Linked DNA regions of Drosophila melanogaster. The protein of the gene in region 1 interacts with the protein of each later gene in a pairwise test. Each region holds a gene or a part of one and is shown on either strand. Other genes may lie near its edges.

The links.
Region 2: the proteins of rau (region 1) and Btk interact in a two-hybrid assay, tested with the Drosophila melanogaster proteins (one large-scale study listed by BioGRID).
Region 3: the proteins of rau (region 1) and HLH4C interact in a two-hybrid assay, tested with the Drosophila melanogaster proteins (one large-scale study listed by BioGRID).
Region 4: the proteins of rau (region 1) and Pp2C1 interact in a two-hybrid assay, tested with the Drosophila melanogaster proteins (one large-scale study listed by BioGRID).

The regions. Positions count from the first base shown.
Region 1 is NT_033779.5:5,875,655-5,883,323, forward strand, and holds the start of rau (rau), read right to left. Parts: upstream 3,845-7,669; 5' UTR 3,334-3,844; intron 1-3,333.
Region 2 is NT_033779.5:8,296,385-8,303,824, reverse strand, and holds the start of Btk (bruton tyrosine kinase), read left to right. Parts: upstream 1-3,078; 5' UTR 3,079-3,319; intron 3,320-5,484; 5' UTR 5,485-5,502; coding exon 5,503-5,754; intron 5,755-6,700; exon of another isoform or gene 6,701-7,384; intron 7,385-7,440. Other genes in the region: Scgalpha (sarcoglycan alpha), read right to left, coding at 1-284; wol (wollknaeuel), read left to right, coding at 1,002-1,067, 1,127-1,301, 1,493-1,889, 1,946-2,288. UniProt on the Drosophila melanogaster protein: Required for proper ring canal development. Also required for the development of male genitalia and for adult survival.
Region 3 is NC_004354.4:4,642,761-4,650,116, reverse strand, and holds HLH4C (helix loop helix protein 4C), read left to right. Parts: upstream 1-2,702; 5' UTR 2,703-2,810; intron 2,811-3,674; 5' UTR 3,675-3,749; coding exon 3,750-4,253; coding exon of another isoform or gene 4,254-4,325; 3' UTR 4,326-4,990; downstream 4,991-7,356. Other genes in the region: torsin, read left to right, coding at 352-544, 603-1,432; mRpL30 (mitochondrial ribosomal protein L30), read right to left, coding at 1,528-1,942, 2,023-2,150; CG3062 (uncharacterized protein), read left to right, coding at 5,333-5,359.
Region 4 is NC_004354.4:4,679,433-4,689,840, forward strand, and holds Pp2C1 (protein phosphatase 2C), read right to left. Parts: upstream 7,472-10,408; 5' UTR 6,725-7,471; coding exon 5,680-6,724; intron 4,503-5,679; coding exon 4,055-4,502; intron 3,991-4,054; coding exon 1,200-3,990; 3' UTR 556-1,199; downstream 1-555.

The DNA.
Region 1 (7,669 bases):
TGATTACCAGGTAGTCAAAACCAGCTGGGAATCGAGGGGTTACGAGCGTTTTAAAGGCGAGTAAAAGCTGCATTTGCAGGGTCAGTTAATGAATCCCCACAGCAGTGGTGAGTCAATCAACTGTTGGGACTCCCAACATTCCGCATTCCCACAGTGCATTAAGCCCGAGTCCGAGCCAGCAAATTCCTGTCCCAGGATAGCTGCTGGGAATCGGAGGCGCAGAACCATCCGGCCACTGCAAAGTCAACAGCAACAAAATCACTTGCGGTTTGGGCCAACATCCACAGCCACAAATGCGAACTGAAGTGGTAAGTTTGCTTTTCTTTTTAGGCGTGAGAATCGGTCGCCAATTCAGGTGGGCGGATTACAGAGGCACGTGTTGGTGGAAAGTCAGTGGCGAGAACGATTTCCCAGCCGATAAGATGGCCACTGTGAGATACATTTCGCAGCTAGATTTACGGCCTAATGAAAGTTTTACGAGGTTTTGCTCGGTTCATAGCGAAAGGTTACCCAGCTTTTGACCCTAATGGATCATCTGAACTGCTGGAAAAAGTGATAAAAGCGAGGTGAAGAAACTCAATTGGACAGAAGAAAGTTCCAGATGAACTTTTTCTGCTCGTAAAGCAAAGTATGGGGATCAGCGAAGACACCTGCGCTTATATAATGTAATAAAGGGATATTAATCTAGGACAATCTACTAAAATGTGAAAGGTATTTCCCAAGACAAGATGTTCCTATCATAAGAAGACTGATCATCAGTACAACTTAATCTCTAAGCTCTTTTCGCAGTAACCCATTTACAATGCAAATTTGCTTCTTATGACTAATACTACATAGTTTCGCTGAAAGCCAAATCAATACGGAATCACTTAACACACAAATTCCCCAATGCCTAATCGTTTCGAATTATACATTGTAGTGCTAGAGAAAACCAGATGCCATAAGGCGTTATAATTGTTTTACGCCACCATATCTCACAGGTTGCCGTGCGCAAACAAACAGTTAACAGGCTTTGTGTACCTTGGTTTTTTGTTAATTAATTGTTAACAAAACGAAGTGTCAACAAAAAAAAATATCAACCGAGAGCGGCTGAGAGAAAAACCACGAGTAAAAGCGCCAACTTCCAGTTTTTTGCTGACTTTGTGCCATCATTTATATTAAAGAAGTCGTATATTATTTTTTCATTTCGCTGCTGAACTTGTTTATTGAATTTACCATTTTGAAGCCGCTGACTCAGTACGATTTTCGCTGTAATTTAGCCGAGTTAGCGAGAAACGTTAAACGAGGCTGCAGTGCATAATATATAACCGAAAAAAACCCCCGATTCGGGCCAGCATTCATTTCAATTGAATTTTGAATATTTCGGAATGCTAAGCTCCAACATCAAATTGTGTTGCCAACGCTCGAATAAATTGTAAATCAATTTAAGAATCAACAAGAGAATGTACGACTTCGGGTGTGAAATAAAATAAAATAGCTTAGGAAAATTGCAGTAAAATAAATTGTTTTATTTTATAGCCGGAATAATTTAGAGTAGAACTTTTACATATATGTACGCAAAAATCCGGTTAGCGCACATTTATGTCGATTGACAAATGCTATTGTCTTTTTATTGCCAGTGCGGGTGTGTCTTTGGTTAGATGAAGAAACAATAGACTTGAATGTACATAACTGTATATGGAAGTCAAGCAACTTCCTCAAGCTATAAAGCCACGCATAAATTACCGAGGAAATTATACAAAATGGTTTGTTCAACCATTCACTGGAATGGAGCTCTTAAATACAAATATGATAGAAAATGGCTAAAAACTATAAAAGCGAATTGAGATGTTAGTGCCAAGATCTCCAGCGAAAGATAAACGATCCCTGATGCAGACCACCCTCGACTTCCTGCCATCGATTAATCAATAGAACTACTTCCTTTTAAAACGCCCCTCGCAAGTACTACGTGTGTGCAATGTGAAGACTAAATGAGGCGAATATCCTTTCATGGCTCACGTATCCAGCCCAATACAAGATACTTCTGTTAAGCACAGATTTGGTGGTACTACCTGTTCCGAAATCGAAGCAGAAGGCGCTAAACTGAAGGAAACCGCACTTGACAGTAGCACACGAGCAGGTAGGCCCAAAAAGGTAATCCCTCTCTCACGTAGTCTTCTGAAATTCAGGATGGGATCGCAGCACGTTGAGCCCTCTGGGGCGTATTGTACTCGTGCATTTCCTGATTTTTAATTAGCCAAATAGAACCTAACAAAGACAACAAGTTGGGCCAAACGGTCTGAGGCTACGTGCTTGGTATGTGAAATCTTTAGCCCCTCAGTGTCCACAGGAAAACAATGCTCCAGACCGAATACTCCTGTGTGCGAGAGGACAGGAAATTAATTCGATATCAATACTTTTCTGCGGTTGCGTTGAAAATTGCGAGAAAGTGATGGTAACCACCACCTCAGGCTAGCAATTTTATAATCAAAACCAACCGCTTTTGGACATCGGGATTTTCCCCACTCGTAATCATGGTTACACCGCCGTCTGGTGGACAATGCTAACTTATTATTGCAACTCCTCATTAGATGATATTATGTGGAATTGACATTAAGGAGTTTGACAATAAGCACAGCAAAGACAAATGAAATGATACACATGTGTATCCGATTGGGGGGCATTGTTAATCGAAAATCCCCAATGAGCATTGTTACCGAACTGAGTGATATCATTCATCTGAGCTTGAAACAACAGAGACGGATTTTCTCACAGAAATCTACAAGATATGCATCAAATCAAATGTTTGGTCGAGACCCAAAGTTTGTGTCATTCATAATCGGCCAACAAAGCAACTCGACTAATTAAGAGAGTCACTCGACCAAGAAATTTACATGAAATGTTTATGCATTTCCAAAATAGCTGGGAAGGTCTTATGTCCGCCTGTGTGGCCCTCTAATGGAAGTTTGAAATATTTGCATAAAAATTCAAAAAAATGCTGAGCAAATTGTCGAGTTGCAGATCCACGGATGTACACTTGTCGGAGGCCAAGAACCGGACAATGATGCTCAGCAATTCCGTATTTGCATTGTAATCCCCCTAGATGACCTCGGGAATGGAGGAAGTGACTGGCCAACAGCTTGGTTACCGTTGCGGGTTCAATCAACTCCTCTGGCCAGCGAAACTGTCTGGATCTAATCGCGCAATTCGATAATTGAGTGCAGGAGAGTGGGCTGTGAAAATTCTGGACTTTCGCCAAGGCGAGAAGAAACCCAATCGACCGAACTAGATCTCGTCTAGCAATCAAACTTTCTAGATGAAGAGCGAAAACTGGACCAGCGATCGGGCGCTTACCTTCTAGCGTATGATTTGTAGTATCCAAATGTGATTTGTGTGTAATCCCAAGACCTTAAGGCCCGAGACTTTGATGGATGGCGGTATAAGAAGTCCGGAGTGCGAAGACAAGACAAGGTCGCGTCGTTTTTCTTCGGCTGCCGCTTTTAGGGCCCTTTGGCTGCTTGGCATTAAGTTATCAAGCACTCTACGCCACTTCGCATTTCTTCGCGTATCCAAAGGTGCGTATGCGTACGTGCTCCCTGCTGGGGAAACAGGTGCACTCAGGAAGCAGCTGCACTGATTTTTATTTTAGCGTTGCACTTTGAGTTTCTATCCGAATTTGTTCACTTTTTGTACATATGTATATTCCTTTGGCTTTCGTACCAATTTTATTTTAGATCTGGACGCACATTCACTTTCGTTCGAATAGGCTCGCTACCGTTAGCCAGTTCACTAAGAATTGGAAATTTTCGAGCGGAGCTAATGTAGATTGAGTACCGCACTCGGCAGTGTTTACAGACGCACTGAAGCCGCACGGCTAGCGTCTGCGAGGTCTAACCCGCTGAGAGGAGTCGCATTCAGATACCTGTTTTGTATGTGTGTGTGAGCTGGCTCTCGCGCTCTCGCCTCTCTGCACTCAGAAAAAAACTATAGCTAGCTTGATCAGCGGAAAGCAACGCAGATACTTGCAGTTAGCAAGTTATTTAATAATTTGATAACTAATATTTAATTTTTTTAAGCTGACTATAAAATTCTCTCTCTTCTTATCTTCTACAGGGGACTTTAATTCAACTTGAAATGAGCCAAGCTGATCTGATACCATGTGAATAGTATGAATGTTAGGTGAATGGATTTTGGGAAAACGCAAATCGTTCATAATGGAGCCACTGGGGGTGTGGGTTGGCGCTTCGTGGGCGAGTGAGCGGGCGAACTAGTTCTGTCTGCGGCTCGCTCTTTTCGGAGAGAGGAAAACTGGTTTCCAATCAGACTTAGACTTTGCCGGCATGTGGGTTTCCTCATGGAAATCTGGGGATGGGGATTCGCGGTCGAGCGACGCCGGATGGGCTTGGGCAGAGCTACATAAATGACCAAAGTTGAAGGGCGAGGCACGGCTAGAGTTTACGGACTTGTAATAAATCAGGGAGTTTTCAAAGCAGAAGACTTTAGCTAGTAATCGTATGTATATATGTGTTCACGCTAGAACGGCATTAGTAGTTTATTTAGTTACTAAACAACAAGAAAATTCAAAAACTGTACTACCTTAACAGTTTCCACAACAATCAATATGAAGCTGATGCATTTTTAATAGGTAGACCTTAAGACTCCTTCTATAGTATTCGATTAACAGGATCGATTTTGTAACTTTAAGTCTGGCGAAACTAAATCCAGGAAATAAGCCCTGAACTTTGGCAGTATGTAAACTGAAAAGGTGAAAGAAAGTTCAACATTCAGGCGAGATATTCCATTCCGGCAAGTCGTAGATTGCTTCGGTTTGATGTTTTTTAGACCCCACAGAAACAACAAAGAAAAGCAAAAGTTTAAAAATTAATTATGACAAAGTCAAAAAGTCCAAAAATTATTAATGAAAGTGAAATTATCATCAGCGAAGCGAAAAACAAAAATAAATAACAGATTTTTTGTTGCTCGATAATTTGCGAATGAAAAGGAAGGAAAAAACCAACCAACTGATGCGCCAGTAAAATTCATTAGACTTTGATAGATGAACTTGATGAGTCGATGTCGCTGATGGACGACGGACTCGCAGAGTTGTGAAAATCTGAGCGAAAAATGCGGAACCAATTTTATTTGTTTGCTTTTTGAGAGTAATTTAATTAGTTGGAGCACGGCAAGTTATGTTTGCATGTGACCCGGGGCGGTCAATTAAGAATTCATGAATCAGGCCCTAATTAGAGGTCGCCGTTTAACAAATTGATACTGGTTTTGTATTCACATTGAAGCCGAAAGATCTGTTCGAAGGTGTTAATAAAGCCCAGTCAAATTGCTTGGCTCCTTAGAACATTCTCCGTTCTGACTGAAGGGTATCAAAGTTTGTCCTCGGGGCACAAAAAGTTACATCTTGTAGCTAAGTGGCATTCCTCTGACCAACGGTTAAATATTTGTGCAGCACTGTGCGGACATGAAAATGGTATCATAGCACGCTTTTCACACAGCCGTGTGAAAAGTACACACCAGCCCAGTTTGAGGGAGGGCAGCTCAGACTCGGATGCAGGTCCCCTGCTCTCCTCCAGTCCACCAGACTCCAGATGAAGATGAAGTCGCAGCGAAGGTATGCTCCAGTTACAGAAGTAACAGTGTTTGTTCAGCTCAAATACAGTAGAGCCTACGAAACTGTTCATGACGGCCCATCGAAAAAGCTTAAAGTAAAATATTTGATGCCCTTGCCGTCGAACTTGTAATTATATGCCACGGAATTGAAAACAAAAGCATATCATATTTAATATGAAACAATGTTTTGCAACAATCTTCCAAACACAAACAGAAATCTTTCGAGTTCTGCCCTGGTAATTCGGCCTGTACGCGCATGGAGTTGCAATTGCGGACTCAGCGCGGCCGGCTGCAAGTTAATGGCTAATGGTCAGCAGCTGCCGCAGCCAAAACAGACGTGCTCCAATTGTAAACAAAAATGTTGGAGCTCGGATCGCCCAAACACACTCGCCTCGAGCTGCACTTGTGTTGGTTTGTATCCGTATCTGTATCTGCATCTGCAACTGTATCTGCATCTGCATCAGCATCTGCTCCGGATGGCAGCGAAGTCTGTCAAGTGGGTTGCGATTCCGACTTCCCCCTCGGTGCAAAAAGCACCGACTGACTTTTTGCGTGCTGAGCACATTTCCTATAAATAGTAGCTGTAAACCATAAATAAAAAACGAAAAGAGGCAGAGAAGCGCAAGGCGAGGGCTACTCTATTCATGCCATCTATCAAGTTGCAGGCACCCGAGATGAAGTTTGCGCTCAAATGATTTGTTTAGACGGCCTGCCACTAAGTGGTGGTAGCCTGTTAAGGCCGCTTTGGTTGTACCGAAATGATTGCACAGCGAATTAGTTGGCATCGGAGTAAAGAGCTATCCGTTTAAGGCCTAAACATCACTTACCCCAAACGAGATCGTCTCAATTGGTGGATATAAATCAAGTTCGGTTAGCAAAGCAGCTGATATTGGCTGGCCGTTGGCTTCAGTATCCATGTCATAAACAAGGACTTCCGATTGCGGCGTCTGCTCAAGTGGCAAGTGCCACGAGCGGCTTAGCGGAGGTCCTCATTAAAGCCGAAACCGAATAAAACACCAAACTTTCAGCAGCTGAGGGGCGACAGCTTGCAGACCCAAACAGGTGGCATCGGCAGTTGGGTCAGAGACAAGTCCTGGAGTGCGGGTCGAGGGACGGAAGGGCGGGAGGACTTCCGCCGATGTCCTGGCCATTTCGTAGCCAGGTGGCCTCGCCTTCGCCAGGTCAAGCGAAAAGGCGTCAAGGATATCAAGGATTCATAACTCATTTACCGACCTCTTGATGAAACCACTTCGATATCAAGTTCTGCTGGGCGAAGCAGCTAAACGGAGAATTACTTGCAGTGGCTTGAATTCATAATGATAATAATTAAGTTACAGAAGTTTATTTTACCAACGTTAAATTTTATATATATATTATAGGTAAAATATTGCATACACCTTTTAGTTCAAACGCGCTTTAAGTGGACTTGTTTATTTTCATTTTAGTTGCTTGCTTTGTGCATTCAGATTCACATTTTAAATGATATATTATTGCTGGATGATTTATTATGCGAAACATTTTCTGTTTATGGACATAAAATATTTGTATTTTTAGTCAGAAATTTTCGGTGTGGGCCAAGAACGCTTTTAATAATGCGCTTCAAACATCCAAAGGCAACGAATATTCAGCGGTGTATTTTCACGTTTAACTAATGTGGTTTTAACAATCACCTTAAATAGCACATTAGCTTTCGATTTCTATCGCATTCGAGTCGCTTACACAAGCAGGGAGTTGAAAATCCGAGTGAAATATAAATAATACCTAATTAATTGTCAATTAATCTAGTTTTTATTCTATTTCAAACTTGAAAAGTAGACTTAACTTATATATGATTACAACTAATGTGCAGATATATTTAAAAAAAACTGCTGAATTCCCCTTGCCCATCGAAAGATTCATTTACACAAAAAAAACATTTCCATTCGAAACGCATAATATTTACAAATCAATCGAGGCATAAAACCGTCTATACTACATGGGAAAGTCAGTGCCCATGAATTCTACTAAGAAAATATTTCGTTGGAGCCCAGAACTTATGGGTATAGGTTTCTTTAATAAACTTGGAAAT
Region 2 (7,440 bases), 2.4 Mb from region 1:
AGACTTAGATCCTTGCCAGCCGACGATGCTGGAGGAGTTCCGTAGAGGAAGCCGGCATGGTATTCATGGCTATACATATATCGCATCCAACTGGGCAAATCGGGATAATTCTTCAGCGAGGGTCTGTAGCGAAATTGCTGGCTGATCACCTGGTGTGTCCAGTTAAAGAGTTGCGGTTCGATTTTGTAGGTGAAGAGTTCTCCAACATTTGCCTGCAACTTTAGACCCTGAACTTCGTTGCAGATTAAAGCTAATACGACCACTATTAAGTTTAAAAACTTCATTTTGTATTTTATGTAGTTTTTTTTTTACGATTCACAAGCACATTTTAATTGACTATAAACAAATTGTTATTCCGCCCAGCGCAGAGGCGATGAAAAATTCCAATGGTGTGTATCTGAATGGGAGAGGACTACGTATATTCTCAGAACTTGTTGTTTTTGAATTTCAAAGAGCGCGCATGCGTGTTTCGATCCTTAAGCAGAGATATTTGTGACTAAGGTCAGTTTTTAATAGTATTTATAGGTTAGAATTGACTAAAATATATAGAGTAACTTATGTTAACATAAAAAAATCAATCAGAAAATGTGTTTTATAAAGTCTTGTACCATGAGTCCTATATCATATCGTAGTTTTTGATTTATTATTTAAAACTACATACTTAACCTATATCTACTTAATATTCGCAAGCATAAGAAAGTTTATAACCATTTTAAATTGCCTTTTGTTATATATTTTATTTTAATTCAAAATCATAGAATTCTTACTGCGATAGACCATTAATCGATATCTGCGGTGACTGTGAATGAGTCACTGTTTTGCGGAGAAGTGTCATCCCTAAATTGAGTTGACAACCCTAATCAGCTGCGGCATTTCGGTCTAAAATTCTTGGAATTAAATACGTGGCTCTGTTTATCTCGCACAAATTGGAGAAGTAATGTCTGCTGGCAGGTAGCAGGCGCACCTGTTCATACAAACTAGTTGCTAAAAAAAGCCCTACAATGTGGACCTGCCTCTGCCAGCTCTGTTTCTATCTACTCTCGACGCTTGCAGTCGCTGCGCTGTCGGTCAGATCTTGAATACATTCGCCTATCTTTCTTATTTTTACTGATAATCCATCGTTTAGATTGCGGCTCTGGTGCTCTACAAGACGAAGCCCTATCCCAACATCAAGCGGCACAAGGATGAGGAGACCTTCCTGGACCCGCACACCATTAAAACAGTGACTTTTCCCAGTCTCGAGGACTCGCCAAGTTTGGAGCTCAGTGTCATCGTACCAGCTTACAATGAGGAGCAGCGCTGTATGTTGCTTATTTGTTTTTGTTTTGGTGAATCACAGTCAACATTTTATCTATGCCCATTTGTGATTGATTGTCTGGCACCCGAATTTATCTACAGAAACTTCATTACACTAACATGTTACTTTAAGTTACTTTCCCCAAAAGCTATTCGATTTTCTTGTTCTCATTTGTGTGTGTTTATACTCGTTTAGTGCCTTCTATGCTGGACGAGTGCTTGGCCTTTCTGGAACAGAAATCTGCTGGCACTCCCAATTTCACATACGAGGTCATCGTGGTCAGTGACGGCAGTCAGGATGCCACCGTATCCGTCGCCTTGGGTTACTCGAAAAAGCACGGAGCAGAAAAGGTACGCGTGCTGGAACTCATCGAAAATCGTGGGAAAGGAGGTGCCGTTCGCATGGGTATGCTAAGTGCACGGGGTCGTAATCTGCTCTTCGCTGATGCGGATGGAGCCACCAAGTTTCCCGACTACGATAAACTGGAGGTGGCCCTCAAGCAATTAGCTCCCGAATGGCGAGACGATGGCATTGCCATTGGATCGAGAGCACATCTGGAGAACGATGCGATTGCAACAAGGAGTTTCTTCAGGTAAGATAAAATCCTACATTTATTAGCTGACCAAATACTGATCTGCGTTGCCACAGAACAATTTTGATGCACGGCTTTCATTTCCTCGTCTGGCTGTTTGCCGTGCGCTCCATTCGCGATACCCAGTGTGGCTTCAAGCTGTTCACCCGAACGACGGCCAGGAAACTCTTCACCAGTCTGCATGTGGAGCGCTGGGCCTTTGATGTTGAGCTGCTGTACCTCGCTGAGAATTTGAAGCTACCAATGTCCGAGGTTGCCGTTCGATGGACGGAGATCGATGGTTCGAAACTGACACCATTTTGGTCGTGGCTGCAAATGGGCAGGGATTTGTTCATGATCTGGGTGCGATATTTGGTGGGCGCCTGGCGGATTGCCTCCATACAGAAGAAGGAAAAGTGATGTGGACTTGGAGGGCATCTCATTCCCAATATTAACTAGCATTTTGTGTCGAACTTACTCCGCTGTCGTGCATTACCAAAACTCTTTTAACTCTAAACTCTATTTTTGTAGGCCTGATAAAGTGTAACGAATTCTAGCTAGTTAAGTACTTAAGTACAGTATTTTTTCAAATAAAAAATAATTGATTTGAATAAAATTGCGCGGCAATGGTTCTAAATTGTTAGTAATCTAAAAAAAGTAACTATACCAAGTCGTCTTCCTTTAGTATATTGCGCTTTAAATATATAAAGTTTCGTCACATTGCTTGTTTAATTTTGGAACGAAGAAATAATTAAAATCACTAGTTATTTTTTTGAAATATTGAAATACGCGGGAAAATAAAATAAAAGGCAGTATGTGTGGTATTTTGTATTCTTCTGGTATTTTAAGAGTAGTTATTTTCATATCGGTGTATCTCCCCACTCGAAGTGCGGTCACACTGCAAAGAAGTTGCGGCGGCGCGTTTAGTTTCGTATTAAATCGTTACTATTTAATTACAGTTAATTAGTGTAAACAAACCAATCAAACATAGATACAGCTGCCACGTGAATAAACGGAAAAGATTCTAGTTAAAGCGTAGGATCGCGAGTGCAACTGCCATGGGCGCCGCTAAGTAAGGAATTCCAGGAATCCTACGTTGCGCCTGTTGCTCCTCTCCCGCTCTCCAAAATTGCGTGCAGGTGTGTGCGGGTGTCTGCTCGTCTGTGTGAGCGTCTCAGCTGTGCCTGCGTTATATATTGTTTATAAAGATTTTTTCGCAGTATGCAAATGCTGAACAAGCCGGTCGGTTGATATTTCGTATTTACTCTCGTCGCCGCGCAAACGAAAGTGTTTTGTTATTGTTGCGTTACCCGTTGCGTCTGCCCCCTCCAATTGGAGAATTGTGATTTGTTAGTGGTGTGCGCTGCTGGTGTTGTTGTTGTACTTGCTGTTATTGTTGTTGCTATGCGGTCGGGTCATTGCTTCAAATTGCTCAATCAACGGCACTTGTGGTAAGCTGGTGAACTGGCACAGTTATCAATTTTATTCCTCCTTTCCGTCCCCTTTTTATCGCTATCGAATTACATACATACTTCTTTTGTTCTTTGTCTTATCAGCATTTATTCAATTGCCCAGCAAGCTGCGCTTGAAACTATTGTATTCTGATAAGAAAGGCGAACTCTGTGCTCGACGCATTCTAATCAGACGCCCTTGCTTTTGCATTTTCTGAATGCATTTCATTTTAAGGCATCGTGCAACGCAAAAAAAAACAAATCAAAGTTAATATAAATAATTATGCTGTGCTGATTTTATTAATCAGCTTATGGCGACTTTAGCTTAAAGTCACAATAGAAACTAATTACACGAAATTTTTTGTTGTTGTAATAATAACAAATAGAAGTACTGCTAAAAAAATATCGTTTACATAGTTGCTTAACTTATTTTAAATTAAAAATCAATCTTTTTGGAATATAAAGTAACTCAAAAATTGATTTCAAATTAGACTGAAATTCTTGCTAAGGTCGCAGATTCTCCAGTCTTCCTCTTCCACTAGAAAAAGCGCGACAATAAACAAAAATTAAATGCAAAGAAGAATACAAACTAAGCGCGACCATTTGCGTGGCGAAATTCAAAGTCAAAAACGAGTTGCCAGGCCACGCCCGCTATATGTATATATACATATATACTATATGTATGTATATTGATGTGCTTATAGCCCAGGTCTTTGGGCCTCTCGCTCCACCAAAAAGATTTATGTACACATTGCGCCTTCTGCCTTTTTGCCATCCTTTTTTTCCTTTCTGTGCCTCGGTCCGTGTTTATTTTATTACTTATGGCCATGCGCGTTGCGCTGAAGATTCTGATTCTCTCGCCCTCTCTTTTTACGCTCCGTTCGCCCATGCCCCCGCACTCCGCTCCTGTTTTTGTAGCGGCTCTGCTTGATTAAAGCGCGTGGGGGGTGGGGGGCGTCAGGAGACGGTGAGGAGGAAGAGTTGATCAGGAGATCCAGCCAATTGTTGTTGTCGCACGAGCATTTGTCGCCTTAGCTTTGTTTCCCTTTTTTGCAGACGCGTCCGTTCATGTTCCTTGATGATCAGAAGCGGATTTGTGAATCAGATAAAGAAAATCATATCGTCAGAGTAAAGAAAACTAAAACTTTTTTTTATTAAACAAACTCTTTTTAAAATCATCCTTAGTAAGATGTTTAAATAAATCAATAACTCAACCATTCCCGAATTCAGAGCACTTCGCTCCTGGAGTCTTCCTGCGTCTTGTTAGCTTTTGTTGAAGTGTGATAATGCCAGAGATCGTGTGGTGGCTGCTCCTCCGCTTGGAGCCACCTTTTCAACGGCCCGTTTGTTTGCGTACACGCTTCTCGTTTTGCGAAATGGAAGTTGTGGGGACAAGGTGGCAAGGAAATGGGGAATATGCCGCTTTGGGGGCTAATCCTTTAATCCGCTGTGCGCGACTTCAAGGTCAGCAAGTGATCTTTACTAGTGTATACCAACCTATATGTATCTCCTGTCTGCTCGGGGGCTAATTAATTGTTCGTTTAATCGTTCGATTTGCTGACCGACTCGTCTGTCCACTGGATTTTCCCTTCCTTGGCTCCACACTTCTCCATTAATAGGCAGTATACAGTATCTGTAAATGAATAACTTTATTTTCATCCACTTTTCGCCATCCCATACTGATTGATGCCAAGCGGAACGCCCACGGCAATTAGTCAACCAGGTAACTCCCAGTGCTCCAATGTTTTGGTGGCCCCATGTTCCACGGTCAATGCCTCGAGGGGCGCTGCAAAAAAGATTCGCACGCCCACGCCCACGCCCCCCAAAATAGATTTATGGCCTTGCCTCTGCAGAGTGTGTTGTAACCAATCTTTTTGGGCGAGCGCTTCTAATTTTAACCCTCTGTTTGCCAATGCGACATCCATTCTGACGTCCCACTAAATGGCCATTAAACTATTTAAAAATCTTTATTTTGCCAATGGGATAAATAAATGTATGATTAAATATTGTCTGTTCATACGTATGCATGGCTATAATCAAAGCACAGACAAAAACCCTTGGGTTAATACAAATATGTCTTATTTCGAAGGGTTAAAAACGTTTTGGCATGCGTGTAAATATTAACATTAACTTTTGGTTAGCTAATATGTTTCTTTGCTTTTCAGACACTTTTTCTTGTCAAGATGATGGGCACTAAGCATCGAAACTCGCATGTCAATGGCAGCATTAAGTCATCATCATCGCTGCGATCGAGCAGCAAATCCTTTCAAGCAAAAATGGATCTGATGTCCGAAAGGCTGTACGATGTCGTGAAAAGTGGATCGATGGTGAAAAGGGCTCAAAACAAGAAGCGTTTCACCCCCGTGAATTACAAACATCGATGGTTTGAGTTGACCAAGCGAACTTTCAGCTACTTCGATGTGGAAAATGTGGAGGTGAGTCATGCAAATTGCTGTACGCATTTCGGCCAACAGGTTTTATTTGGCCAAAACTAATTCAGCCAAAATAATGAATCGACATAATTTAAGCTAAATTAGCGAACACAAAATGAGAATGTAGATAACAGCGAAAAAAACAAAAATATTATGAGAAGCTGCTACGTATTTTTATTCGATTCTGATCGGTAGAATCAATAAATAGAGCTTATCTATTGGTAGATAATATGAAAATAATTCATGGATAATCTGCAAATGGTGTTATACATACTATAGCAATTATACACCATACTATAGCAATTAAGTAATTGCTAACTAATACTTCAAAAGATTCATATCTGTATGCTACATTGTATTTTGTAAAAATAATATGAATACGCTACTCAAAATGCACATCGGAGTTAGTCAGTTCCGGCTGACAATGAAAGATCTCAGGATTCGAAGGACCGGCAACTGGGCCCGCTTTGGAATTGGCCAAAATGGTGAATTGAGGAGGGTCCTTTCATTATGCATGTTCAAGTGGGCGTCTCATCTTGTCGTCGTGGCTACGTCATTTATTGCGTCGCTATTACGGCACCTAACGGGCTCGCAAAATTTTCACCATCCGGCGCCCGGGAAACTCAGCTTACTCTGCTCCGGCGACCGGCTGCATTCGTTTCAAAACAAATGTGGTTTTCGGAGGAAAAAAGTCTCCAGTGCGCTCGGCTTGGAACGTATATGTACCACCGTTCAATCCAGTCTCCGGCTGGAAAGTAAGCACTGTGGGGGTTGGAAAATACACACACAAAAGCAGCTGTTAGCCGGCACAATGTGTGTGGAAACCCACCCTCGACAGTCCTTGGGTGTAGACTACGGTGTCGTCCTATCCCGTTATGCCGTTCCAATTGGAAGCGGAGTTTCCCTTGAGTTTCCCTCTGAATATCCTGGATGAAGTTCAGTAACCGTGGCAGGAGTTTCTATCCTGGCCTCGTCGCGTGTGGACGTTCGTTAGATTTTCGCATTTAATATTTTATTAAGCCCAAAGACTGTGTTTTAGTTGCTTAAAAAAAATATATCTGATTTGCATGACATTTACGAATAAACACAAGTGTGCGTTAAAGTTTCGAGTAACGTGTTTATTTGCAATACTTTTCAAATTACAAACATTTTTCTAATGCGCCGGCCGCTACCCTTGAAAATTCGGTTGGTTTTCAGCGGTGAAGTGAAACCACCCTTATTTACCCTCTTACTAACTGTATTTAAACAAACTTCTATCTCTACTAAATCATATAAATGATTCGAAAAGTGCAGTGCATCCTACAAAGATAGCCGAAAATAGGAAAACACCCAAATAAAACATTTAAATCGCAAATCCTTTCCATGGCGTCGTTGGAAAATTTTTTGCGAATCTAACCGAAAAAAAAGAGAGAAGAAAACGCCCCACCCAAGGCAAAAGTTTTTCAAGTGTATCCAAGCGGCCTTTGTGTGCGTGCGTGGTGCGTTTGTGTGTGTGCGTGAGTCCTAGTGTTGTTGTCGCTGTTGTTGTTGCTTTTGCTACTTTTGCCGCACCCCGAATTTCGAATTTCGTGTGCCTGTGCCTAAAATTAAAAGGATTATCCTGACGCCCAAAAGGACGCATATTTAGTCGTAGGTAAGCATTGAACTGAAAGGGAGAAATGCCCACGGGAGTTACTAGTTTTATGTGCC
Region 3 (7,356 bases), on another chromosome or scaffold:
TTGTCACAATTTTCACAAAAAACGCGATGCGATGCTATTTTTTTTTTTTGCCAAAGAACTAAAGATGTGCCGCCATCGATGGCAGGGTTTATCGATAACAGCGGCGGCGTAAGCGGCGGACTGAAAATGGGGCCTGAATAAACGTTTTCTTTGGCGCCATATGCGCAGAATTGCGGCATACTCAATTAACCAAAACATACCACTGACTGACTTACAATAAAAATCTGTTGAATGCCACTGCTACACAACTATCGATAGAAACGGTTGCCGGCAAGTGCTGCAATCTAGTCTTATGCTGCCTATCGCTTTTGCCCATCTATACATTCCACCGCGGAATTTTCCTTGCATTTTATGATGAGCTTTCCACGCATGTTATCACTGTGCCTTAGCGTGCTTGTAATACTGCCGCTTCCCCTCCAGTCGGTGGATCCCCTGACCATTGGTGCCGTTGGCGCCGTGGCCCTTGGGGCGTACTTCAAAGAACATACATATTGCCGGTTTGCCGAATGCTGCGATGACCGAAACATTCCGGCGAGAATAGATGGTGAGTGAGTAGTTTTGTATGCAACAAAATGACTAACCAGTACAGTGGGTAATTACAGAATTAGAAAGATCCCTGGAACGCACCCTCATTGGCCAGCACATCGTGAGGCAGCATATCGTCCCCGCACTGAAGGCGCACATCGCTTCGGGCAATAAGTCACGGAAACCGCTGGTCATCAGCTTTCACGGCCAGCCCGGTACGGGCAAGAATTTTGTGGCTGAGCAAATTGCAGATGCTATGTATTTGAAGGGCTCCAGGTCGAACTATGTAACCAAGTATCTCGGACAAGCTGACTTTCCCAAGGAAAGTGAGGTGTCTAACTATAGGGTGAAAATCAATAATGCGGTGCGCGATACCTTGCGTAGCTGCCCGAGATCTTTGTTCATCTTCGACGAGGTGGATAAAATGCCCAGCGGAGTATTCGACCAGCTCACCTCGCTGGTGGACTACAACGCCTTTGTCGATGGCACGGATAACACAAAGGCAATCTTCATCTTTCTCTCGAACACGGCGGGCAGTCATATAGCCAGTCATCTGGGTAGTGTGATGAAGAATGGTAGGCTGCGCGAGGACACACGACTGAGTGACTTTGAGCCCCTTTTGCGGAAGGCCGCCTATAACATGGATGGCGGTATGAAAAAGACCACCATGATTGAGTCTCATGTTATCGATCATTTCATTCCGTTCCTGCCGATGGAGAAGGCGCATGTGATCAAGTGCCTGGAGGCGGAGCTTTTAAGGTGGCGGCGCGATCCTAAGCAAGCGAACAACCAAAAAATCATTGAGGACATAATAAACTCCTCCATTAGTTACGATCGCACGCACAGCTTGTTCGCCATTTCGGGCTGCAAGACGCTGGAGAAGAAGGTGGCCATGGCCATTTACTGAGAAAGGACCGACCGACTCCACATTTTAATGCTTAGTTTGGGTTTCGGTTTGTATTTAAAAAACTATTTTTTCGGAATAAAGAAAACAAATTTTAACTACCAGGGATTTAGCCACTTGAGGCGGGCATCTTTGCGCAGCAGATCGGTATCCAGTCGCTTGGGCTGCTCGTCGTAATCCTGGCGAGCCGCCAGGCGGGTATCGATGGGTCCCAGGTCCTTGGTTACCAGGCACTCGCCGTTCTCCTTGAGTATCGTATGCCGGACATCCTGGGCAGTGGGCTCTCCGTAGGGGAACGTGACCGGCGTAACCTTAATTAGATGCTTGATCTTCCACAGGCGGGCATTGTTCTCCGGTATGTTCTTGACGACAGTAAAATCGCTCTGCTTTCCGTCTAGTCCCAGATCTTTGAGGATTCGATTCTCCCAGTAGGGATTGCCCTTTAGCGGCTTGATGCGCTGCACCCGGAAAAGTTTCGCCGGCTCCACGGGTGGATCCTGGTGATCGGGAGTCCTGAGCGGGATAGATTTAGCATTAACAAATGCTGGATTTCGTGTGTTTTCCTTTTATACACTGCACACGTGAATACGAACCTGGGATAGTAGGTGATACCCTCAAATTTCTGGCCATTTTTGTAGAGGAACTTCTTGTTGTGCTTTCCGTAGCTGCGCACCGAACATGCGGTGCTCCTCAGTGGATTCAGCAGCCTTCCCAGGTTCATCTTAATTGTTTTCCCCCCTTTGTAATAAAATTAAATGCAAAACGCTTATGAAATAATTGATGTTTCCCCGACGATAACGATTACACAGACATCTGGTTAACTAGTTGCCTATCGATGGGCAGCATGGATACTGCCGTTATGTAAACCAATGTTAACCGCTTGCTGTTAAGCGATACAATTCAAATGCAAAGGCGGCAAAGTTAAAAGTGATAATTTATCATGTACAAACTGAAGATAATTTATCATTTACAAACTGAAGATAGCGAAAACATTATCAATAAGATGGTAATATATATTCGTTGTTTTTTTTTTTAATATTTCAAGAATTAGTTGAGAAAAGAAAGTTTTTAGGTCATCGGATTACACAGCCTCCAGGGGATGATGTCCATTTCTGGAAAGGGGCGGTCTCATATCAAAATCTCCGCCATTTTGTCAGCTACAATTGGCGCTAATCGACGAGGGTGGATAACTTGGCATTGGCTGGCTTTCAACGCAATGGGGTTGTTTCCGATTTTGGTTATAAAGGAGGCTGCAGCTTCCCGACCGGAAGTCAGTTCCACGTGAGCATCCATCCGGCGAGCAACCGACTCTAGTGGCAAGCAAGGATATCTGCCAGACAACTCAAGGATCTAGAATAACTCTGCACCTGTGATAACTGCTGTAAGTTCAGGCAACAAAGCCCAAAAATTGTGAGCAATGCAAATGAAGTGAATGTACTAGCGAGTAGAATAATCAAATTAAAGATACAAATAGCTGAATGAAGTCTCTAGTTCGTTTAAAATTATATCTAGAAATTTGTTAATTAGCTAACTTGACCATGTGCACGCACTCGACATGTGTAAGTGTACTGGAGTTTCATAGTCTTGAGGGGACTTGAGTTACACGACAAGTTCTTAAAACTAGATCGGATTTCCATCATCCCATGGGATCAATAGACACGTCTTCGACTTGATGCAATTCCAGTGACACTTTTTGGACCCAAAACCCATTAAATCAATAGATATAAAATCATACGTTAACCGCAACAATACAAAAAAGGGTGGCCAAGCCTAAGGGGTTGGCATCGCTGAGGTTTGCCAACTCCCGCGGGCAAATAAACGTGCCGATTGTTCAGCTATTTGTGTAGGTGTGAAAATATGCTGCGAATAAACAATACACGCACAATGCCGACAATAAGCACAATAAGTACAATAAAAATAAATGAAAATAATAGCAAACGCAAACAGAATGCAGCGAAAAAGGGGTGTGTCCTTCATCGGCAAGGACGACACACACACACACGGACACCCTTCATCACAAATGTCCACAAATGAAGCATAAATAATTCGAGTGCAAGGATTATGATTTCTTCAACGCCTATTGTAACCTTTTTTTTTTCAATAGCATGAGCGCTCCACCGCAAAGGTAGCCACACTTTTCGTCTTCCTTGAGTTTGAAATGCAGATCTGTGAAGCAATCAAGTACACATTTCGTTGTATTCATAGTCTAAGCTGTGCATCCTCTTGCTTCCATTTCCATTTCCAGCATTCAGCAGCAGGCTGGGCAGCGCAAGAAAGTCCAGTGTCCAGCACCGAAATCAGTGGTGCAAATAGCCAGAGAATGGTCTACGATATGAGCCATATGGCGGCGGGTCCGCCGCAAAGCATTTCGCTTAGTCGCTACTATCTGGTCGACGATGATGAGATGATTGGGCCAAATAATCCGCATCTGGTCAACGAGGACTATGCGGCCAGTACGACGCTGGATATCGATAAGCGTTTTCAGGCGCGAATGGCGTGCGAAACGGCCGCACAACCGGCACCGCCACCGCCGCCCACGCCGGCGCCACGTCGCCGGACCACGCCCATTGCCCATTTGGATCCATCGGAATTGGTGGGTCTATCGCGGGAGGAGCGGCGTCGTCGCAGGCGAGCGACACTCAAATACCGAACGGCACATGCGACGCGGGAGCGTATACGGGTGGAGGCATTCAATGTTTCCTTTGCCGAGCTGCGCAAGCTGTTGCCCACATTGCCGCCGGACAAGAAGCTTTCCAAGATCGAGATCCTCAAGCTGGCCATCTGCTACATTGCCTATTTGAATCATGTGCTGGAGACGCCCTGAGATAGCGCCGGCGCCTCCAGTTTCGCCACCAGCTGCCTCTTTAACGAGGCCAATTTTTTCGCCCCCCCGTAGGAGGTGGGGGGGCGTGGCGGGCGGATTTAGGGGGAAAACATTGCGAATATTCCACATCCGATAAACGCATTTCACCATGCTCTGTAATCCGCACATCGCTCCATTGGATACTTTGCCGGTGGCGGCTATGGATAATGCGATTATCGAATTAGCCATCTCACCAACTTAACCGAAGTGTTCGATGGATTTTGCCGATTTGCTAACCTATTTAACCTATGGTTAAATACATACATTTTTTTGTTTTTTGTTTTTTTTTTTCCTTGCCACTGTTGAAAGACAAATGCCCGTCGTTTCGTTTCGATTCGTTTTTTTTTTTAGGCTTAGGTTTGTTTTCGTAGAAACAATTGTAAAGCCACGATTTAACCTAAGGTTAAAATATGCCCGTACTAAATGTAGAAGATATAAGCTATTAGTTTGTGTAATTTAATTGAAAAGTAGAAATATCGAAGGAAATAACAAAACTAAATATGCCAGTAGTACATACAATTAAATTTATGGGAAAGCAGTGCTTAATCCTCGGAGTAAACCTTGATCATGGTTTATATAATATAAATAACCAAGAAAAAAAAAACAGAACCTTAAACTAAGATCCATTTTTTGTCTAGCCTTTAAGTCGTGATATTTGTTTATACTCAAACGATTAATATATACAGCATTGTAATCGCAATAAAAAATTGTCTACTTTATGTATTTTGGCGCGCCTTTGCACGACACTCCCCTCGACTTTTGGACACCAGCTGCTCTGACTGAGTTTTCCATTTGTCTGAACGCTTTGCTCGGAAAAGCCAGATGCTAACAGTTCCCCCTTTTTCACCAACCTTCAAGAACCACGTATCCACGTATCAAAAGCGGGCGTGTCCTTTGCGCCAAGCCCCGCCCATTTGTGTAAAAGCGAAGTAGAGCAGCCTCTGTCATAATTTTCAAAAATTGAGGATACATTTTTATTTTTTTGTTTTAGAAACTGTGAAAGCGTCACGGAAATTTCGACTTTTGTGCAAAATTTCGAAATGGCCCTTCATTTTAGTGCACAGCAGGTAAGACAAATTTATTCTAGTCGATTGGGAGGCTGTTTTCAATATCCATAAATAGTGGCCTAATTTGGTTGGTACGGGTAACGGGTATATATATATATACATATATATATATTTGTGTGGATCCATGGATGTAAACATTTTCGCAATAATAATAACAACAAACGTGGCAATGGCAACCAACTCGATTCGGCGCCATCCTTTTCTATCCAGTGAAAAACGACTCCTGCATTCCGACAATCGGCTGTTTGTCCCTGTATGGGTGCTATTTTCATGGGTGTGGGTGTACTGGCGTTCATAAACAAAAACAAAGGCCAGGCGACAAGGAAGTTTTGTTGTGTGCATATTTTAGTTTTTACCAGTTATATATTTTATTCTTTATTTATATTTTTATATATTTTAAATTAACTCATTTTGAATGGCATGTGTTTCCTTTGCTCGAATTTTAAACTTTTGTTTATTTATTTTTGAAAATATATGTCGGGTGTTTTCTTGTTTTTGAGTGTCGTACGCATAACGTTACCGCTACCGCTCCGTTACCGTTTCCGCTCCCATAACCGTTTGAGCTCGCTTTTTCATTTCCTCCCCGCCCACCGCCCACCGCCCACCGCCCACCGCCGCCTTTGCACATTTGCAAATAGCGACAGTTAAAGTTTATTTACTTGGTAACGGTTACTTTGGACCAGAACCTTTGCCACGCAACTCGTTTTTGGGAGTCCACAGCTATTCGCCATATACACACACAATCGCAACGGAATCGGTTAACTGCGGTGGTGACGGAATTTCGAAAAGAATCTATTCGAATCGCACTCGAGAATCAATCGAAACGCCTGGCGTTAATGGTTTACCAATTGGCCAGGGCGACAGCTGTTCGGCCAGCGGAAATTGAAATTGGAAAAATTGAATGGAGCATTGAAAGAAGCAGAAGCAGGAGGCGGAGCACAATCCACAGGATACAGGAGCTTTGGACCAAAGGATAGTCGGCGGCAGAGCGTGAAATTAGCTTAAGTGCTTGTCGCCTCGACCAGGACACACCAGTGGATACAAGTGCGACATTAGATACGATACAAGAGTACCCGAAAGTAGAGAAGTACCTTCATTCTGGCGAACTTCTAGCCCAACCCCAGTGCCTCGGCCTAAACCAGCGATTCAACCGTGCACGTGTTTGCCAACTAGCTTTTTGACTGTCTAATCCTGCGGATGCGAGAATGCAAGGACACCATGTGATAAATTGCACCCCAGAGGGTTGCCATAAAAATCATCGCTTCACCCAGCTGGGGTGACCACCTCACCCATCTCAACCATCTCATCCAAGGGGTGCAAACTATTCTACCCATATATGCTACCAATCTATCTATCTATCCCATCACTGTATCTATCTGTCTATTGTGTAGCGTTAGCATAGATACCACACCATCGAGCCAAGTGCTGTTAGCTCCTTTGTTGCTAATTGAGTTTAAAATCAATTTGTATTTTTTCACGCCGCAATTTGTTCGAGCGCACAGCTACATTGCGTAATTGCCGTGCAAATTTAATTACAGCGCCGATGCGGTAATGCTGGTTGACCAACAAAACAGCCACGCGCTGCGAACGTGCGCCCTTGTCACACCCACTCACAATACGGAATCAGCACCCAGTGGAACACCCACTGCAGCACCCATCGATCAAGGCCTCAATCAAGTGGTGACACTCGGAGCGCTCCGAGTATCGAGTTACCAGCGAAGGTCCATTTGCATTCCTTAATTGAAATTCGTACGCGTGGGAAGACCACGCAGCCTGAAAGCTTTGAATCTCCCAAAGTTGGATGTTGCTCCATGTTTTTTTTTTTTTTTGGAAGAGATGATCTTCCATTTAACAGATTTCACTTCTCATATTCATATTCAATTATGCCACATAGTAGTTCAATCCAATTCAATTGCAGGCATATTGCCGGGCTCACTTGCTCCTGTGCCCGCTTAGGGCTGGCTAATCCTTCTGATAAATGGTCCGGGCTTTGGATG
Region 4 (10,408 bases), on another chromosome or scaffold:
GGTTTCTTCTGTTATTACACGGGCTGGTACGTTACGTGTTGGCAATGCGCGATTTCGAGTTGGTCTACTGCCCGTGCTGCTTCCTTCATTACAACAAAAAAAGTTACGTTTTTTCAAGCAAACAAGCCAAAGTGTTACCGTTCGTGGAGTGACTAAAACATACCATACATAATGCGGGCCTACTTCTATGGAAAATACTGAATTTCACACTAATATACTGTATTTATAGCAAATCAGCTGGTCATAGCCGTTGGGTTTAAATGTTGCAATAAATTTCTAAAAATTCTTCTTTACTTATTGATAAACATCCGCCCAATAGGTGAAACAAAACTCTTGAGAGCAATGACATTTTGTTCCCAGCTTTTGTTGCATTTACTTGGGACGCAAAACATTTAATTCACTTTATAGCAAACCATGCCAGTGTGACCATGCTATATGGTCAACCATAATTATCGACACTTGAAAAAATGTCTTACTTTAAAATTAAATTTGATTATGAGAATCCATATGCTAAATTGAATGAAAATCCAAAAACCCATAGAATTATGTAAAAATAGATGTATTTCAATTGAAAATATTTCGCGATGACATGAAAATGACTTGCAAACGCAAGTGGTGAACACCTTACAAGCGAAGAACAAAAAAAAAAATTAAATGATAAACCTAAAAATATTAGCTTCTCTCGTGTTAGCCTAACTTATCAACTATCTTAGACAACATAGCGTAAAACAGTTAAACACAAGAGACGAGATAAAAATACTTTCCAGTCTGCCGTACACTGAACGAAACGATTTAGTTAGAAAAGAGAATATTTATGTTGAGGAAAACTTTCGGATGTTGGAGAACTTCTTACTTTGGGCGATACAAAAAATATATATATCTATATATATATTCCTATGTACTTTTTGCTATTTACTAACTTCGACTTATAGCTACACTATGAATTTGTTTAATTGTTTAGGCGTAGGTATAAATGTATATATATCAATATATATATTTTTTTTTATGCGGCGGCTTATACAGTTTTTTATATATACATTTAAAAGATGTGTGTGTGTGTGTGTGTGTTGTGCACATAAAAAAATTGGTTAAATTATGCAATTTTGCGTTTTCAGTAAAGTAGTATACTAGGATCTAAAATTTTCCGTTGCTTAGGATTTGTACTTGCAAGTTGCTCGCATGTTTCGTTACAATCTAGCCTAGCGCCTTCGCGTGCCGACTGTGGATGCGGCCAAAGATGCTCCTGGTGGTCCCGCTGCCCCGCCTCCAGATCCCGGTGATCCCGCCGCAGTCGCCGCCCTGCTCCTGTCACTGTAGCAACTGATGGCGGTTATCAGATTGCCAGAGTTGCCACTGCTGCTGCGCAACGACCACCGCTTGTTCAGGTGATCCGCCGCCGCCGCCAACGCCGCCGTATATGCACGCGTTCCAATTGCCAATGTGGGCACGGCTGCATTCAGTTTCTTCGGCGAGGGCGGCGGACGCGCAGAGATGGCTCCATTGCAGGCCTGCAGGCGATTTGATTTCACATTCGAGGGCGACCCACCAGTGCCCACCAGCCCACTGCCGCTGGCACTGCCACTCAGAGTGCTCCGTCGCAAGCTCATTCTTTGCTCCCGATCCTCATGACTGCGTTTTAGGCGCCTGGCTGGCGAGGCGGTAGTACGCGATCCGCTTCCCCTGGACGTGATGACCGGACTGGCTGGGCTTGTGAAACCGGCTGGACTGCTGCCTCCGCTGGCTGGCGACGAATTGCTAGATGGCGTGGCTGAACCGCCCGACAAAGCGGGTACATTCCTTGTCCTTAGCGTGCGCTTGGTCATGTCCAGGTCCATGCCCAGACCGACACCGACACCCACACCCAGGCCCAAGGTGCAGAGACTGCTGCGCAGCTGCCTTTTGTTCACACCACCGCTGGCCGTCAAGGTGTGACTGCGGCGGGTCATCATCATGGAACTGCTGCTGGGCACAACTTTGCTAGCGCTGTTTCCACTCGCATTGGCCACCACATTGACGCTCCGCCGACTATTGGCTGCCACCGCTGGACTGCTCCCACCACTGGCCGATCCTCTGCCGCCGCCGCCGCCACCGCCCCCGCCTACACGCCCAGCTGCAGGTGTGCCAGATGCTCCGGCTGTTCCTCCGACCGTTTCGGTGCTGTCTCCATAGGCCACAATCGCCGCAGCACTGGACTGTATGAAGGACTTTGGCTTGACATGCTTGAAGATCTGACGACGACGCGTCTGCATGTGCTGATGGTTCTCGTTGGGCACGTTGCGATAGCGTCGGATTCGGGGCGCGGTCATAGATCCTCCCAGTCCACTAGATTCGGTGGGCAGGGCGTCAGCCATTGTGGAATTCGTCACGGCCACTGGTGTTGCCTCAGAGTCCTGAACCTTTTGAATGCGCTGGAATATATAGTGCACGGCATGGGCATCCTCTTTGGGCATCTCGGCCACTGTATCTAGCACAGCAACCTGTTTGGTCTCTTGCTTCTTCGGCAGCTTCTTTTCCTGCTTGGATGGAGGTTTTTCGACCGCGGTTAGCATCTCCTGAACCTTCAGGGGCTCCATCTTGTCCACAATCTGCTCAGGCTCCACATGAGTGGGTGTGGCGGGCAACGTGGAGCTCACTTCATTGTCCTGCAACTCTTGTTCGGGTTGAATTACTATGTCTATTACTGTGGAGTCCAACTCCTCCTCGTCTTCTTGTAATGTAGCACACCACTCGCTGGCTGTGGCGGTGGTCACTGGGTAAGCAAATTCGTGCTGTCCCGAACTACTAATGGCCTCCACCTCCATTTGCTCCATTTGCTGTTCGCGCTGCTGCTGCTGCTCCAGGGCTACCTGCTCCTCCTCGGCACGCTCCTGCTGCAGTAGAGCATCCAGCTCGAGCAGCTCAGCCGGCTGCTGTGGCCACGATTCGGTCAGCCGCTCCCTTTCACGTCTGGTCTCTAGTTGCGTTAGCGAATAGCCCTCTTGCTGCTGATAGTGCTGCTGCTCCTGGATGATCTCCAACATGCTGCGGTCCAGCACAACGGATGCGGAATGGGCAGTGGTTTGTTGTGCTTCTACTGCTGCTGCTTCTGCGGCGGCGGCTGCTGCTGCTGCTGAACGTGAGCGTGCCTCCTGCTCCTCCTGCTCGTTTAACAGGGAGTTGTACGACTCGGCGAAACTGTAGCTACTCTCCAGATGCTGCTCCAACTCACTCAGCTCACGATTTTCAGCCGTCTCCGCAGGATCTATTGAGGACTGGGCTATGCTGCCGCCATAATTGGTGCCCTTGTCAATGCTGGTGTGGGAGTACATGTCCAGTGTTAAGACATCTATTCGATCTGGTTCGGGATCGGGTTCCGGTTCCGGTTCGGTGACGCCACTCCAGGAATTGTTGATGGTTGACTTGCGCCACGTTTTTCTGGGGTTGAACAAACTTTGCTGTAGAATTCCCACCGATTTGGTTTCCTCCTCTTCCTCCTCCTCCTCCTCGTCTTCTTCCACTGTTTCCTCATCTTCATCCAACTCGTCCTCGTCCACATCGAAGTAGTCGAAGTTGCGGAAGGCTTCCGGAGGCGAATGTCGCTTGGCCAATGCACTGTACGGCTGGTCCAGCACATACTCATGCTCCTCGATGAGAAAGTCAGGGTAGTTGTTCTCCACATCCAGTGTCGGCAGCTCCTCGTCGTCCTCCTCCAGCAGTAGCTCCACCTCCAGATCATTGTCGCGTGCCATCGCGGATGGGGAACGTGTTGGCGTTGTGGGCGAATTATTGCGGGCCGCTGGTGTTAGTATCACAGTCACAACGGACGTGTTGTCCGCACGCATCTTCTTGGCGGCCCAGGTTTTGAGGGCCTGATCCACCAGCGCCTTGCTGGGATTCATAACGTCCTGCTCGTTGAGTATCTCGCCGATTAGATGCTCCTTGCGCACACTGTCCACCGCCTCCTGGGCGGTCACCACATTCCACAGGCCATCGGTGCCGAAAATTAAGCATCTGCAGGCAAATTATTCAATATTAAGATGTCCAGCAGTTTAGCTAATTAATCAGGATCACTTACCTAAAGGTACTGGGATTTATTTTAACCACTTTGACATCCGGATCGGGACTCACAACGAATTCCTTGAAGCGGGAATTGTAGCTCCAGAGATCGCCCAGGGAACGAGCCACCGCCAAAAAGGGTATTTCATCTACCAGAGTTCTGCGGCGAATGGGACCGCGATGCATTGGGTCCCTGGGTCGGTTCCATACCACTCGCGGAACTCCCGATTTGATGGCAACATTGCCGCCGGAACGCTGGATTCTCGTCTTCTCTGCCAGTGACTCCGGCTTGTGGTCCGTGGTCAGTGGACGAGCACGCCAGTTGCGTTCGCCCTTGTTCTGGTAACCCAAAACGATCCCAGAATCACCCACATGACCAATGTAGATCTTCTCGCGACGCATAAAGGCCACTGTGGCGGTGGTGCCGGCGGTGCTCAGATGCCCATTGGCAGTGCGTGGCCATTTCTCTGCGGGGTTGGGAAAGGATAATACCAGATTTTAGAATTTTCCATAATTCCAACTTAACTTATACGTTATCAAAGAAGAATTAAGCCTTAACAAAAAAAAAAAAAAATGGTTGTGTAAGTCATAAAATTTCCTTCATTTTAACAGAAAACCTAAATAACTTAATGAAATTATAAAAAATGAATAGGGTAAGGACAAAAAGAAAACAATACCAAATCGCTTTAAAATTCTGGATTTTCCCAAACAACTAAATACAATTTCTACTTATATTTATATATTTAATGAGGCAATGAGTAATAGCATTTAAACAGCCACTTTACATGATGCAAGCAGTTGAAAAAATCATTTTCTAAGGCCCCTGGATTTTTGGCGCTTAACTGAATATATTGGTATATCGAAACGACGGATATTGATATTTCCCACACAGATACACACCTACAAACGTGTATCTGCGTTTCTGGCATCCCTTGAATTTCTGTGTACATTGTTTTTGTTATGCGAATAGGAAAATGGGCACACATTTATTTTCTTTTCTCTTTGGCCACCTCTCGCTCTCTCACTCGTTGCATCTCTTTCGTTCTCGCATTTCGAAACGCCTTGGTGGGCCGCGCCGCCATACGGACGTCCCGCTCTAACTCACAGCGGGGTTGCCATGCTTGGCGAGAGTACAGCCATATGGCAAGTCCGTGGAATATTCCACTCGCGATAACTAAGTGTGTGTGTGCATTTGTATCTGTATCTGCTGCTGTACTTGTATCTTTTTAGTGTGGGCTGACAATAGAGATGAGCAATTGAGCGATGGTTGAGTCATCGCCACACACGGTTGCATAATTACCTAGAGATGGGAGACCCAAGGGAGCAGCTCGAAACTTGAGGCAACTTTTTTTTGTGTGGGTGGGGGGGTGGTGCGAAACGGCAACCCTGACAACGGGGACTTACGCGGTTTGAATGCCGCCAACTGGCAGTTAATTCAGTTTTCGCGCATCTCTAACGGTCGCTTGGCATTGGCAACAATTTTGATATGAAATTGCATGAGAGAAGGCACAAAAACAAATACAAATACAAGTATATTATATTCTCTTTTTTTCGTATGATTTAAAATCTTTATGCCAACTAACTGCTTTCTTTGGGTTGTCTCAACTGTAAGATGGCTTAGTTTCCCAGCTATTTCTTGCTCACCTTGTTCCCGCCACATGGCGAAATGTGTGGCGATGTATCCCTCGCGTATTGCCCGCAGGACATCCTCATCCTGATCAGACCAGAACTGCTTCTGCTTGACGATCTCGAGCATAAGGTGCTCCTTGGCGAAGAGCGCGGCCTCGGGACCGCCGTGTCCGTCGTAGATGCCAAAAAATGCGTATTCCAGTTCGTGGGTGATCGGTGATTCCTGGTAGGCCACCGAGAACTGATCCTCCATGTATTTCCGGCCTCCCTGGCAGCATTGTCCAGTTACGCGCATATTGACGCCCAGGGAGGAGCACGGCGACGGATTGCCGGTGGATGCGCTACTTCCTGTAGCGGAGCTGGAACTGGAATTACTGTTGGAACTGCTGCTCGAATTGGAATTGCTGCTGCTGGCACAGCTCTCTGGAATCGATCGCGGTGGAACGATGGCCGCCGACCGGCGTAATCGACTCTGTGCCGCTCCGCCGCCCCTCGAGCGATTTATTGTTGTGGTTGTTGCTGAGTTTAAACGTTGTTTCTTTGGATTTAAAGGCTTGGCTGGTGATCCCCCCTCCATATCGACGACTATATCCTCGGCATATGCTTCCATCTCGGTGAACGCCAGGTCGGGAATGGGTATGCTGATCCTCTCTGGCCTTTGCTCCGGCTCTTCCTCTTCCTCCTGTGCGACTCCTACCGCTGCCGGTTCAACAACAACAACATCACTGCTGGCATCCAGTGCTGGATGGCATGCACTGTTATTGTTGTTATTGCCGCTGCTGCTGCCGCCGTGGCGAGTAACGGAGGCTGTGGCTGGAGCTGGTGCTGGAGTTGTGCCGCCGTCGTCCCCATAATAGTTAATAATATCAAATTCCACGGACGACTCATCTGAGTCCTGGAAAGTACCGCTATTCGCTGCCGTCTCTCGCAAACGGACTACCGTTTTTTCGATGGCCGTATTGATGAGGCATCTGTTGGTGGTATTGGTAGTGGCGTTGATTGTGTTGGCATTTGTGTTGGTATGGGTGCTGGTGCTACTCCTGTTATTGGCGGGCAACATCTTCCTGCTTCTCCCTCTGTTATTTTTTGTGGTTTTCCCCCGAGTTTTGTTTATGCTGCCTGCTGCTGCTTCTTCTTCTTCTGCCTTTTAGACTTCTCCGTCTCGCAGTGTTGTAATTTCCGTTGACATTTGGCACTCTCACACACACGTACAACGCAACACAACACAAAAAAACAATAAAAAATATATAAAGTACAAGAAGAAAAAGCGACTCAGGCCTTTCTCTCTCCCGCTCTCGCTCTCGCAGCCCTCGCTGTGACGGGCAGTGCAAGCGGGACGACTATCTATATGATGTATGTAATTTACGTTCGCCAACGAGCTTGCGTGTATGCGTGCTCCATCTAGCGTATTTAGTATTTTGTGTTTGCAACTGGCCGCCAAAAACCGATGAATTTCCTTTAATTTGCACCAAATCGAGGATTTATGAGTAGATTGTGATTTCTGCTTTTGCTTACAGCAATAACGTTAAAAGACATCGGTCTTTTATCCTCGATGAAAGACTTAATGACCAAGGCGCGCAGTTTTACCTTGATGATTTGTTGTTCGCCAGCATTTTTTGCCGTTCGATTCTGCTCTCGACTTGCGAACACTTTTCTTTTTTTTTTATTTTAATTTTTTTGGCTGTCAGCACGTCCACATCCACACACACAACAAAATTCACGGCAAATTGTTTAACAAAAATTATGTTGAAAAAAAAATCAAATAGAAAGCGTGTGACCGTTGTGAAAGTAGGTCGAAAACACCACGCTCCATAGGCGATGTATAATGCTGGCAGCACACCAATCGATAACAACGAGGACGGGGTTGCAATCGATGAATGTATTGAGTGCATTATTTTTAAGATTTTCGTAATTTATACACTTATTATAAGTTGTTATAAGTAAGTTTTCTCTGGCAATTAAAATTTGTTCTAACATTTAAAAGCAATAAGTTTAATAAACAATGTCTGGTCTCCATAATGAATTATGATAATCATAATTGAATTCACAATAAGCTGTTTAAAAAAAGGTAACGATTTTCTTATTGCACATCTCATTCAAATACATTCATATAGCTAAAGTCGTATGTTTATAGCGATATATATGAATACCACAAGTTACGGATAACTAACGAGATTATTAAGAATACAAATATTATTTTGGGTACTGTATATTTTCAAACGTTTATATCATTTTATAATGCATTTTTTGACAAACATATAATTATAAATGTTTTCATTTATAAAAAAAACTAATTGTATCATTATTATTTTACATATGCTTATTTTAAATTAGTTTATTACTTGACGCAATAAGTATGTCAATGAAAAAAAATTTGGAAACAAACTGGTTGTAATTTATAACATTAAAGATATGTTTCATTATCCGTCTCAGCTTTTATATTCTCGTCAGTTACATGTCGATTTCTTTTGAAACTATGTTGCATCATACAAAATTTAATCGAATGTACAATGTATGGCTTGGATTTCTTTAACATTATTATTGTAAATAGTTTTAATTACTTGCAATACAAAAAATATGTTTTTTTTATCGAAACACCGCTAGCCAGCAATAGTAATTCTTTTATATAAAATTAAAAAAAAAAAATGTATACATAGATGATAAAATAAATCGAGTGCGTGCGATAAAATAAATTGATATTTGCGATAAGCTAAATCGAATGCACCCGAAAAGTCAGCTGCTTGTATCGTTTAGAACTCCTATATCAGTGATGTCCGTCTTTAAATTGCATTCAATCGAATATTGAATACCGGTTATCGAGTGCAGGATTTCAGAGAACATATTTGACTTTCAACAGTTTTACGCGGATTTTAATTCCATACTCGACAAAATATTCCCCCGTTACTAGTCAATTATTAGCATCCCTACATCGGTAAGTGTTATCGAATCGATAATAAGCATCACTGGTGCCAGACGTCGCCCGCCAAGCGTGGCCTGCCAGACGCGGCCGTGTTCTGGCCAATCAGAGCCGCCTACGACTCGTATGTTGGAGCTCGTCGTCCGTCGTGTGATTAACCGAAGTCGAAAACCGAAATAGAAGCCGTCACTCAGTTAATCACCAGCAAGCAAAACGTTCAGTTGTGTTTCAGTTGTCGAGAAGTCAGGGTGTTTCTACCTTCCATTTACCGTTCCAGTGTAAAATTCAGGCGACACGCTTAGCGGTAAAAAACCCACACATCCACGCACAATAAAGTATATTGGGGCAAATGTTTTTTCAACCCGGTTCCTAGAGATCTTCTGAAAAAACAATTCCCTATCTACTGTTCTTTTTTTTCTCGTTCTCTGTTCTCAAAGTGAAGTAGCCGCGGCGTGCTAAATTTGTATTGCGTGCAAAATTGTTAAAAAAAAAAATAAACCGAAAGAGAAATAAGCAAACACATACACACGCATTCCGCATTTTTCCTGCCCACAACTTTTTTTTTTTAAGTTCAAATTTGGTATTGCATTAGAATTTATTTGGTGACAGCTGTTGAACTATGAGTGAAAAAATCGCGCGCAATCAGGAAAAATTAAAAGGTAAGTCATAGAAAATACCTAGCAAAAAACAAAAAGAAAACGCCGTGTGAATGTTCTTGAATGCAAAAGCAACGTTATGCATTTTAATAATGCGAAAAGTTCCCGTGGTGCAAAATGTGTGGGAGAACACAGAAAACATTTTTTTTGTCAGCTTCTGGCTCTTATTTGGAGCTACGCTGATATCAAGTTTTCGGGTTGACGTCATTTTAATTATGCATAGAAACGCAGGTAATAGTAGAAGATTTTGTGATTTTTTGTCAGCGGTTTCAGCAGAGTTTTCGCAACGTTTTTCGAGAACAATCGGGCTAATGATTGATCAGCTGTCGAAAGTTTCAGTTGTTCTTCCCTTAGGCTGTGTGAAAATTGCTAATTAGAGTACAGTAGAGGTTCGGCGAGGGAAGCCGAGTGTAGTCCTGCATTGAAAATTCGCGGGTTTCCAATTGCAAACGGGAAATTCAATTACCCAGCGTGTATGTGCAAGCGGCGCGTGTGTGTGGCTGCGTGAATGACTAGCAAAAAGCGTTGCATAGTATCAGGTGCAGGGCCCCGTCCAGTCTAGTATATATATATATATATAATAATATATGTATATAATATATCTATAAAAAATATACATAAATATATATAAAAAATGAATGACTAGCAAAAAGCGTTACATATTAGCAGGTGCAGGGCCCCGTCCCAGCCTTTTGCTAGGCATTTACGCATATACATATTTATATATATATATATTTAAAATATATATATATATTTATATATTTAATATATTTATATATTTAATATATTTAATATATTTATATATAAATGTCAGGCTGATAGCACAGAGAGAAAAAGAGAAAGAGAGAGAGAGAGAGACAGGACTGGACCGGGACCTGCAGCAGTTACTATGGAACGCTTTTTGCTAGTCATTCACGCAGCCACACACACACGAATTTTTATATGTGTGTTTGATTAACACTGAACAAAAAAATAATGCTGAAAACAAGCACTGTTTCATGTTCATAAATATACAACTTGTGTTCTCTTCCGCTTCCTGTCTTGCCTCTTTCCCCTCTCTCTTTCCCCTACACTTTTTAACTGTCAATGCAGTTTTCTAATTGACTTCATCAGAAAAGCGAGAAGAAGAAGAAGTGGAGGTAGCTGCAGCATCCATACAAATACACACATG